2 linked regions of the Solanum lycopersicum genome follow. Each later gene encodes a partner of the first gene's protein in a complex. Links are inferred from orthologs where the notes say so. Each region holds a gene or a part of one and is shown on either strand. Other genes may lie near its edges.

Region 1 (4,438 bases):
ATCATAAATTTAGAAACATAAGTTCAGAGGGAGAGACCTCTCTGGAAGTCTGGCAGCTGAATTTTGACTGGCAGCAGATATATCTGTAGAATCAAGGTAAGGTTATATACTTGTATTCTTACAGAAATCTTGATATGAGAACAACAACTTCTAAAAGTTCTGTTACTTAAATAGTAAGAGAACTACTCAACCAGCCTCTGAAGAATACACTGACATGAGTAAATCAAGAAAAAACTATAACCAAGAAATCCCTGAGGAGCAATGGGGCACAGTTTTGTGTAAATGGATAACAAGTAAATCTAGAACTTATGCACCTCAGCAGTAGATTTTTCCTATTTGCACCACAATTTGAAACATTACAATCAAATTGACTACATATTATACCCATTCAAATAATAATATGTATATAGGGGCTAATTATAAAACTGACATAGATGTCCAGGTCTTATTTATAAACGCTGGTTTTGTTTAAGAGGAAAACAAGTAGAAATTCGGCAACCAACAAACATATTGAAAGGCCAAGCACCAAGGGAAGATAAAGGAAGACAAATTAGCAACTTAAACTCACCAATGTCATCAATAGCAACTGCATCAGCTAACTTATCACATTTAGCATCTAACCGGCCACCAATCTCCCGTGAAAGTAATCTCTGGTATTCTGCCACGTCCTACAATAGCAGACATATAAGCATCTATGGGCGTGTAGAACTAACACTTGATAACCAGATGAATAGCGATTCCACGTTTGTAGGTAACAAGCAATCAAAGCATCGATAAATGTACACAAATAAAAGACAACTACAACACTTTCATTGAAGATTAATTGGAAAACAGAAAAGATTTCCCCACAAGACCATGAGGTTATCACGTCAATCAAATAGGTATATTATACCACTGATGACATCTGATGTAGTTGAGTTTGCCATAAATATGCAGGTGTAATTCCAAGGAACCGATTGGGAACACCACCAACATCTGGTTCTGTTGAATCAGTTGTACTAATAGTAGGAACAGCTCCAATTGCAGATGCATTGGTTTGATAAGCTGAGTTTGAGCTCGAGCTTAATGTAATGCTGGTGCTTGTGCTATCAAAAGAACTTCTTGACATTGTACTCCACTTTTCAATTTCCTCCTCGTGAATCTCACCGTCTTTGGAGATAAGAGGAAGCCTCAATCTCTGTGCTGCTTCTGCAACAACCATCCTATGCTCAAGAGCCTCATAAACCTGAAGTCATTCCAGAGCCAAAATCACCCAGAAAACTTAAAACAATTTGAACAATGAACCAAAAAAAAAAAAACTTGTCTGCAGAACTCTATCGTCAGAGCCTAAAAAATGTACAATGCATAACACCTTAAACTTATCATTCATTCTCATCTATTGATAATCAATTTGTTTATCAGTACACAATCTATACGGGTGTGCATAAGCATGCACTAGACGGTACGTGCAATCTTTTAGTAAAAAATCGTGCACAAAATACGTATACCCAAGGCAGGCCTGTAATGTCAGTGAACTAAAAAGAGAATCCTTTTACCCAAACAGCATCCATAAAATCGAATAAACTGAAAAAAAGTGGAACCTGAGGAGGGTTTTTCAAGCCCAATTGAGAGTATAAACCCTGGACATCTCTCATACCACCAAGATTAGCCACAGAAATGGCCTGCTGGTAATCCTCTACCATCGCAGTTGCTTCAATGTATATTGCCTATAAGGTTTATCCAGACAAAGGCAATCAGGAAAAAAATGAAAATGTTAACCCAAAAATAGAAATCCTACCAAAGATTCCAAGTATCGTTGTCTCTCCTTTGACATCTCTTCTCTCGCCTGCAATGCCCAAAAATAAATCATTTTTTTGAGTGTTTGGTTTACCTTAACGATCAAATAATAAGCATTGTAGAGAGATTAGAAAATACAAGTTGGAGATCGTAGTGAGCGGATTTGGAGATGAGAGATCCATCAGGGGCTAAACAATGGCGGTCTAACTGATCGATCAGCTGAGCGACGTCCGCCGGCAAGTTTTGCGAACCCAAACCTCTTCCCATTTCTCCGGCGATTCAATTCAAATCACTGAATTTTTTGGACTTGGATTTTGATTCTTCAAATATTATTTGAGTTTTTTACTTTGTTAAAAGTAAAGTATTTTTGGTTTTTTCTAACATAACAAAATTAAAAATTAATGGTAGGGATAATTTTTTTATTTCTTCTTTAATTTTTAGGATTAATATAGTATTACTAATAAATATTTCCGTTATACTCAAACATAGTTATTTAAAATGCAGATTTAGTAAAAATATCAACTTTAATAGTACGAAAGGAGAATTGATGCAAAAATTGAATGAATAAACGTTGTCAGCCATCAGCAACTAATTCAAGTATTTCTCAAACTAATTGCTACAAAATGTAAATAATTCAGTAGATAATTTGTCTAAATCAATACAAACAATTATAATAAACCAAAACGTGCGACAAACAATCTGTGAAAGAGAATTGGCCAAAGAACATCCATTCTATTGCCTCAAATATAGGAATTTTTCACAAAAGGAATTGTAAGTGAGAAATTCAATAAAACAATGTAGATTCTACTAATTTATGATTAACAATCATATCATTATTTAATTTTCACTAAATATAGAATATTATTATTTTGGTGTTTACGTAAAAAGAATTATGTAATATAATGCAAATAACTATTACAGAGGGCGTTTTTATAAAAAATAAAAGTTTGAAATAAAATTTTAATTTTAAAAAGAATTCCAAATAATGAGATTTGGCTCAAATCTTAAAAATTAATATTAAAAATTTGAAATATTTGTCAAATAAATAATAAATTATATGAAAAAAATTATTTGTAAAATAATTTGAAAAATTTATGGTCAAATGGAAGGACAACTAAATAGGGAGTAGTAAAACTCATCTAATTACAAATTAAAGTAGGGTATATTTCTCCAGTGTGTCGTCTGTAATCAATGGCTTCTTCACTCTCTTTCACTTGTCATGTCGTCAACTTTCCCATTTGTGATCCTAAACTAACCAATAGAAACCCTAGTTTCCGATCCCTGCAACTTCCCCTTCGTTCAATTCAGTGTGGTATTCGTGAACTACGAGGAAGAATCGACACAATCAACAAAACCCAAAAAGTTACAGAAGCAATGAAACTAGTCGCAGCCGCTAAGATTCGTCGAGCACAAGAAGCAGTCATCAGTACTCGACCCTTTGCTGAAACCCTTGTTGATATGTTGTACAACATCACCCAACAGCTTCAGTTTGAAGAGGTAGATATACCGTTGACAGAAATAAGACCGGTAAAGAAAGTTGGCCTTGTTGTTATTGGAGGTGAAAGAGGTCTTTGTGGTGGTTTTAACAATGGGATTTTTAAGAAAGCAGAGAGCCGGATGGCGGAATTGACGAGTCTTGGAATTGGGTATACTTTGATTAGTGTTGGTAAGAAGAGTAATGCTTATTTTCGGAATGTTGATAGATTTGTTGTTGATAGATTTGAGAGTTTTCCGACTGCTAAAGAGGCTCAGGTTATAGCTGATGATGTTTTTTCTTTGTTTATTAGTGAACAAGTTGATAAAGTAGAGCTTTTGTACACTAAATTTGTTTCGTTGATTAAATCTGATCCGGTGATTCATACTTTGCTCCCATTAAGAGGAGAGGAGTTTTTTGATGAAGATGAGTTTTTTAGGTTGACTAGTAAGGAAGGTAAACTGAGTGTGGTGAGGGATTTGAGGGTGAAAAAGGGGGAATTTTTGCGTAATTTAGAGTATGAGCAAGATCCTGCTCAGATTCTTGATGCATTGATGCCATTATATTTGAATAGCCAGATTTTAAGGGCACTTCAAGAGTCATTTGCAAGTGAGGTTGCAGCTAGGATGAATGCAATGACTAGTGCAACGGATAATGCTGTTGAGTTGAGGAGGAACCTTTCTATTGCTTATAATCGGGAAAGGCAGGCGAAGATCACAGGTGAGATATTGGAAATTGTTGCTGGAGCAGATGCACTAATTACATAGATGCTGAAATTTCTGTAGGATGTTTAAGAAAACCATTGCTTTAAGTTGATAATCCCTTGTTCCAATCTGTCTTAAAGGGAGAGATCATCTCTTTCTATATGTGTGTATGTATGAATAAAAAAATTTATGATTTTTTTTCCCATTGGTTATTCAGTATCCCATATTTTTATAATTTGTTTTTTAGAAGAAGGATGTAAGAAGTGAGTCCAAGTATAATCATGCTGTACAGTATGTTACTTATGCTTGTTAATTATTCATAGATTTTGTGAGAACCATATTTCAACATAAGTAGCTAGTAAGAGCTGCTTCTTTAACAAAAATGCAGAACCTTGGAGATGGAATTAGCTGCAGCAACGGCCTTGCAGGATTCTATAACTGAACCAAGAAGAGAAAATATCTCATGGTCATAGGGTGTTTACTA
Region 2 (4,612 bases), on another chromosome or scaffold:
GTTATTATTACTCACCTACAATCTTTTTCTTTGATTTTAGTATAACCTATTTTCTTTTGTTTCAATGATCTATTATTTGTTGTTGCTACTATTCTCTTCTTCGTTGTTTTTGGCATGCTTCTTCGCTACTGTATTTGCTTTACTTGCTTGATTTTTTTACTTTTATATGTTTTACTTGAGCCGAGGGTCTATCGGAAATAGTCTCCTTACCTTCACAAAATAGGGCTAAGGCTGCGTATGCATCACGCTCCCCAGACCCCACTTGTGAAATTACACGAGTATGTTGTTGTTGCTTTATATATGACAAATGACCAAAAAGGAATACCACTAAAATTTAATTAGATAGCAAATTTTGACAAAATATAAGCAGAACGTGCTGAAGGAGCCAGCAACAACAAGATCAATTTTTTTCATTTTCAGGAAACTAATCGATGTGAACATTGTTACGATGTTGTTCATTTTATCACATCACTAGGAGCTTGTCTTTCTCCACATGTTTGTGTCAATTAAGATAAAAATTATGGTGCTTACCTAGTCGTCAACCTCTCTTATTCAATTTACCAATACACACAGAAGCATGACACAAACGTAAAGCCACTGAGGTGTGTACACCAGATCATAGGAAGCCTAACAACCTTCTAATTGAGGGAGGATCTTAGACATTATTAGTTTTAAACATTGACACAATTCTAAGTATCAACCAAGAAATCCATAAGTTCTGTACTGCCTTTATCTCTCTCAAACACTGAAGAAAATATGACAAATAACAATGACTATTAAAAAACTTTTTATGCCAGTAGATGTCTAAAGGTTCTATAATCTATGATGATATTAAAATGGACAAAATCTTATAAGTGTCAGTATCTCCAGAGACGAAAGAAGTATAATAACCCGGCACTTCCTGTAACTGCAAACTGTACCTCAAAATGATCCAGCTTTAATAGTAGTGCTACTCCTATCAGTCCTCCATGAGCTAATTAAGAACAAAAGAACCGTAGTTTTGAACTTTTGAGACCATATGAAATGCTATATTGACCTGAGACGGCAGTCTTAAGTTTTAACCACCAAATCTAAGTCATCATCAGCATATAGAAAGGTTGAGAACTACACTACAAATAATAATGTGCTATGGTGATTGAGAAATCCAAATCGTTCATTATTATTTTTTACAACGGTGGTGCCAGGCCAGCACATGCCTTTAACTATTCCACAAGTACCTGCTACCTCCTACCATCATGAATGCCAAGTAACTCCGCCAGCAAGTGTTAGCTAGATCAGAGAAACTTCAAATTATTCATTTTATAAGGAGGGTAAAAAAAAATTAAATTCTCATTGCTTGCCTCCACGTATAGGTTGATAAATGAGAATCTTAGGCCCAGCCATAAGGGAATTCCAAGAATCAGAAACATTAAAACCAGACATGAAGGGTAATCCTAAGGATTTTGCCATGAGAACTTGTCTTCCAGACCTAATTATAGAACTGCAACTTTCTTTTTCAATTTATTAAAAAAATTAAAGTAATACAATCCTAGCGATTAACAGTGAAAATTGAGATGAAGAGTCAAAGGGGCAGTACTTAGCCTTCACCAAGGTAAGTAAAGTAAAACACTTTAAACAAAGGATCAATGTCATATTTATCTCTTTGTTTGAGTAGATCCAGTTAGTGTAACCTTTAATCAGAACTTATGTGACGTTTCATGTCATTACTCCATAACAAATTCTTCTAATATCCAAGTACAGTATGGCCTATGATCAATAGGGATCAGTGGCAAATTTCTCAACCAGGCTGATGATAACCAAATGGTAAAACTGCAGAAGATTGAAAGGTGCTTGACCAAATCATAACGAGAAAAAGGACAAAATATGATTCAACATTTACCAGTGATGCATAACATAAAATGAAGTATACTATGCGTCTACAAGGAAAAAAGTCAATAAGACGCACTTGGATTGCTTCTGGATCAACAGTAGTAGTTATGCCTAGAAACTTTGCAATCTCTGCTAAATCTGCCAAAAATACACAAATGTACCTGATCAAAACAGACATAAGAAGCAACATTCATACAAACAATTTCCTACAATTTCTCCAGATCTAAACCTAAACAAACATTCTCAAGGACTTCCTGATTATACTAATGAATGGTTTAATCAGCACTTTAATAAGTGAACCAAAACAAAGCTCTTGACTGATAATCAGAAACATAAACCCAGTTGATGTTAATGAAGTCATCTAACGAATATACGCATACTAAGATCAAAACTTCAGTAAGAACAATCAAGTAAGATGCATTGCATTCCCAAATAAATGCACCAGAACTAGAATTCTGACCAATTTCCAACGTCAATCCAAAAAGGGTTTAAGGGTATTGAATAAAAGCTCTAAACTGACCGATCAAAAAAGAAAAAGAAAATTGCTATACACTGAATGCGGGAAGTCTCCTCATCGCGATCCACAGCATCCCCTTGTAGATTTTGCTGAGAAAATGGCGACTTATCCCCTAATAACCTGTGAACTCAAACCAAAAAAGTAAAATTAAGAGAAATAATAAAGATCACCCATTTAGTGTTAATACTTGATTCTTATGAGAAAAGGGATTATACTTGAAGAAAAGCCATTCAAGAAGAGCGTATCGCTCCATGCCGGCAAAGAGAAGGGACTGAGCAGGAGCATTGGCTCTTGGGTAGTTCAATGTAGCCAATTTCTTCTGTATTTCTTCCATTTGTTTCGCTGCCATTCCCAAATTCGATCGTGTCCTTCGCAATTGGGCTTCAGAATTTACTGGCGAAAACTCAAAGACGAGAGAGAAAGAGTTTGAATTTGGTGAAGAAAGAAAAAGGATAGGAGAAATAGTGTTTTAAATTGAAGTTATGTTCTTAAATGAACTTTTGTGAAAGCAAAAAAAAAAATAAAAATCATTAACATTTGCACTCGTTATTTGCAAATTTTGAAATTTAATATTAGTAAAACAATATGAATTATATTTTTTTGAAATATATTATGTTTGTTTAGTAAAAATTTGATATATTGTATAATAAGTGTATTAAAATGTGTAATAAATATATTATCCATCATTAAAATTTGTATTGTATGTGAATTATAAAATTGATTATTGTGATATCTATTAAACTTGGATTATAAATGAACTAAGAGGGATCAAGTGAAGAAAAAAATGTTATTATTATAAATGGTAAATATTTTTTTAATCATATATACATATATAAAAGAAAACCTTCGACCCGCCTTTGTGGCACAACCTCAAACCAGAATTTCCTTTTAAGTTTATTTATTTCCAAAAGTAGCCTTCTCATTTCATGAAAAAATGCGACTTTTATGAAGAGTTGTGACTTTTATGAAGAATTACGACTTTTATGAAGAGTTGTAACTTTTATGAAGTATTACGACTTTTATGAAGAGTTGCGACTTTCATTAAAAGTTGAGACTTTTATGAAGAGATGTGATTTTTATGAAAGATTGTGACCTTTCGAAAGATCGCAACTTTTCCAAATAGTTGTAACCTTTCAGTAAAGGCATAATTAATAAACATTTGTGCACGGTATCCTTTGTTGTATATAAATAAATAGATTTCCTCTCACTTTAAAAAAAACGAAAATTCTAAACCTCCTCCTTCTCTTCTTCTTTTTCTTCTCAACTAAACATTTATGTACTTTGTTCCTATTGAGTGTCTCACTGATGATTGTTTATGTTATAAATCTTGGTATAATTTATTTAGTCATTAAATTATGTTTATGTCAGTAAGGATAAATGATAGGATGTAATAAATTTCATTTTCTTTACATTATTAATGTTTGTTACCACGTAATAATCTTGTATGCGAGATAATATAGTGTTTTAATTTTAATAACTAATAGATTTAAAATATTATTTTATAAATTCTCTGATATAAAGTTCCCGCACGAGGCGCGGATAACTTTACTAGTTATAGTATATTTATGTAAGTTTTTCATTATTTATTTTGTATTTGGTAATTGAATGTTATTTAGTTTTATAGTTTTATTTTATCCAACTGTTTTAGTATGAATTTTAAGATAAGTTAAGTTCCTCGAACGTTTATGTTAAACTAATATAAATTATCATAATTAAATAGTTTTATAATGCAAAAACACATATTAATTAGTCGAAGTAAAATATCTCTATATTAATATATATAATATGCATATATTAAATTGATATAAATATTTAATATATATAAAAAGAATACTATAATAAGTTTGATGTAATATTTAAGATGTGAACAAATTGAAATGAACACCAAAATTGTTTATGGCCAAAATTAGTGATTCAGATAGCATTAAATTTGTGTTGTAAAAATTAAGAGCACACAAAAAGAATGAACAAATATTATGTTCTGGATGCAAAGAGACTTGCTAATAAATATAATTATGACAATATGTGGTAACAAGTTATTGTTAAGTAAGGAATAAAAGAGTAGATTAATCACAATCTTATTTAAAAATGTCTTATTTCTTATAATAAAGTGATTTTCGGTCTTAAATTTTGGAGTGAGTACAATTATCACCTTTCGATTTGAACTGTATTGCTTATTACTAGACAATGTCATTAAAAATTATGTTAAAGTTATTTTACAAACAA

The links.
Region 2: AUGMIN subunit 4 (region 1) and NMP1 share a complex: the UniProt entries of both Arabidopsis thaliana proteins name them as parts of the augmin complex. The link is inferred for Solanum lycopersicum from reciprocal best matches to the Arabidopsis thaliana genes AUG4 and AUG7.

Annotation. Positions count from the first base shown.
Region 1 is NC_090811.1:422,806-427,243, forward strand, and holds the start of AUGMIN subunit 4, read right to left. Parts: upstream 2,904-4,438; 5' UTR 2,044-2,903; coding exon 1,915-2,043; intron 1,826-1,914; coding exon 1,778-1,825; intron 1,707-1,777; coding exon 1,581-1,706; intron 1,226-1,580; coding exon 893-1,225; intron 669-892; coding exon 569-668; intron 84-568; coding exon 38-83; intron 1-37. Other genes in the region: ATP synthase gamma chain, chloroplastic-like, read left to right, coding at 2,968-4,017. UniProt on the Arabidopsis thaliana protein: Involved in microtubules reorganization during spindle and phragmoplast development.
Region 2 is NC_090800.1:76,721,864-76,726,475, forward strand, and holds the start of NMP1 (nuclear matrix protein 1), read right to left. Parts: upstream 2,855-4,612; 5' UTR 2,736-2,854; coding exon 2,602-2,735; intron 2,507-2,601; coding exon 2,390-2,506; intron 2,031-2,389; coding exon 1,946-2,030; intron 1-1,945. UniProt on the Arabidopsis thaliana protein: Contributes to the assembly of the acentrosomal spindle and phragmoplast microtubule arrays as part of the augmin complex. Regulates the association of gamma-tubulin with the spindle and phragmoplast microtubules.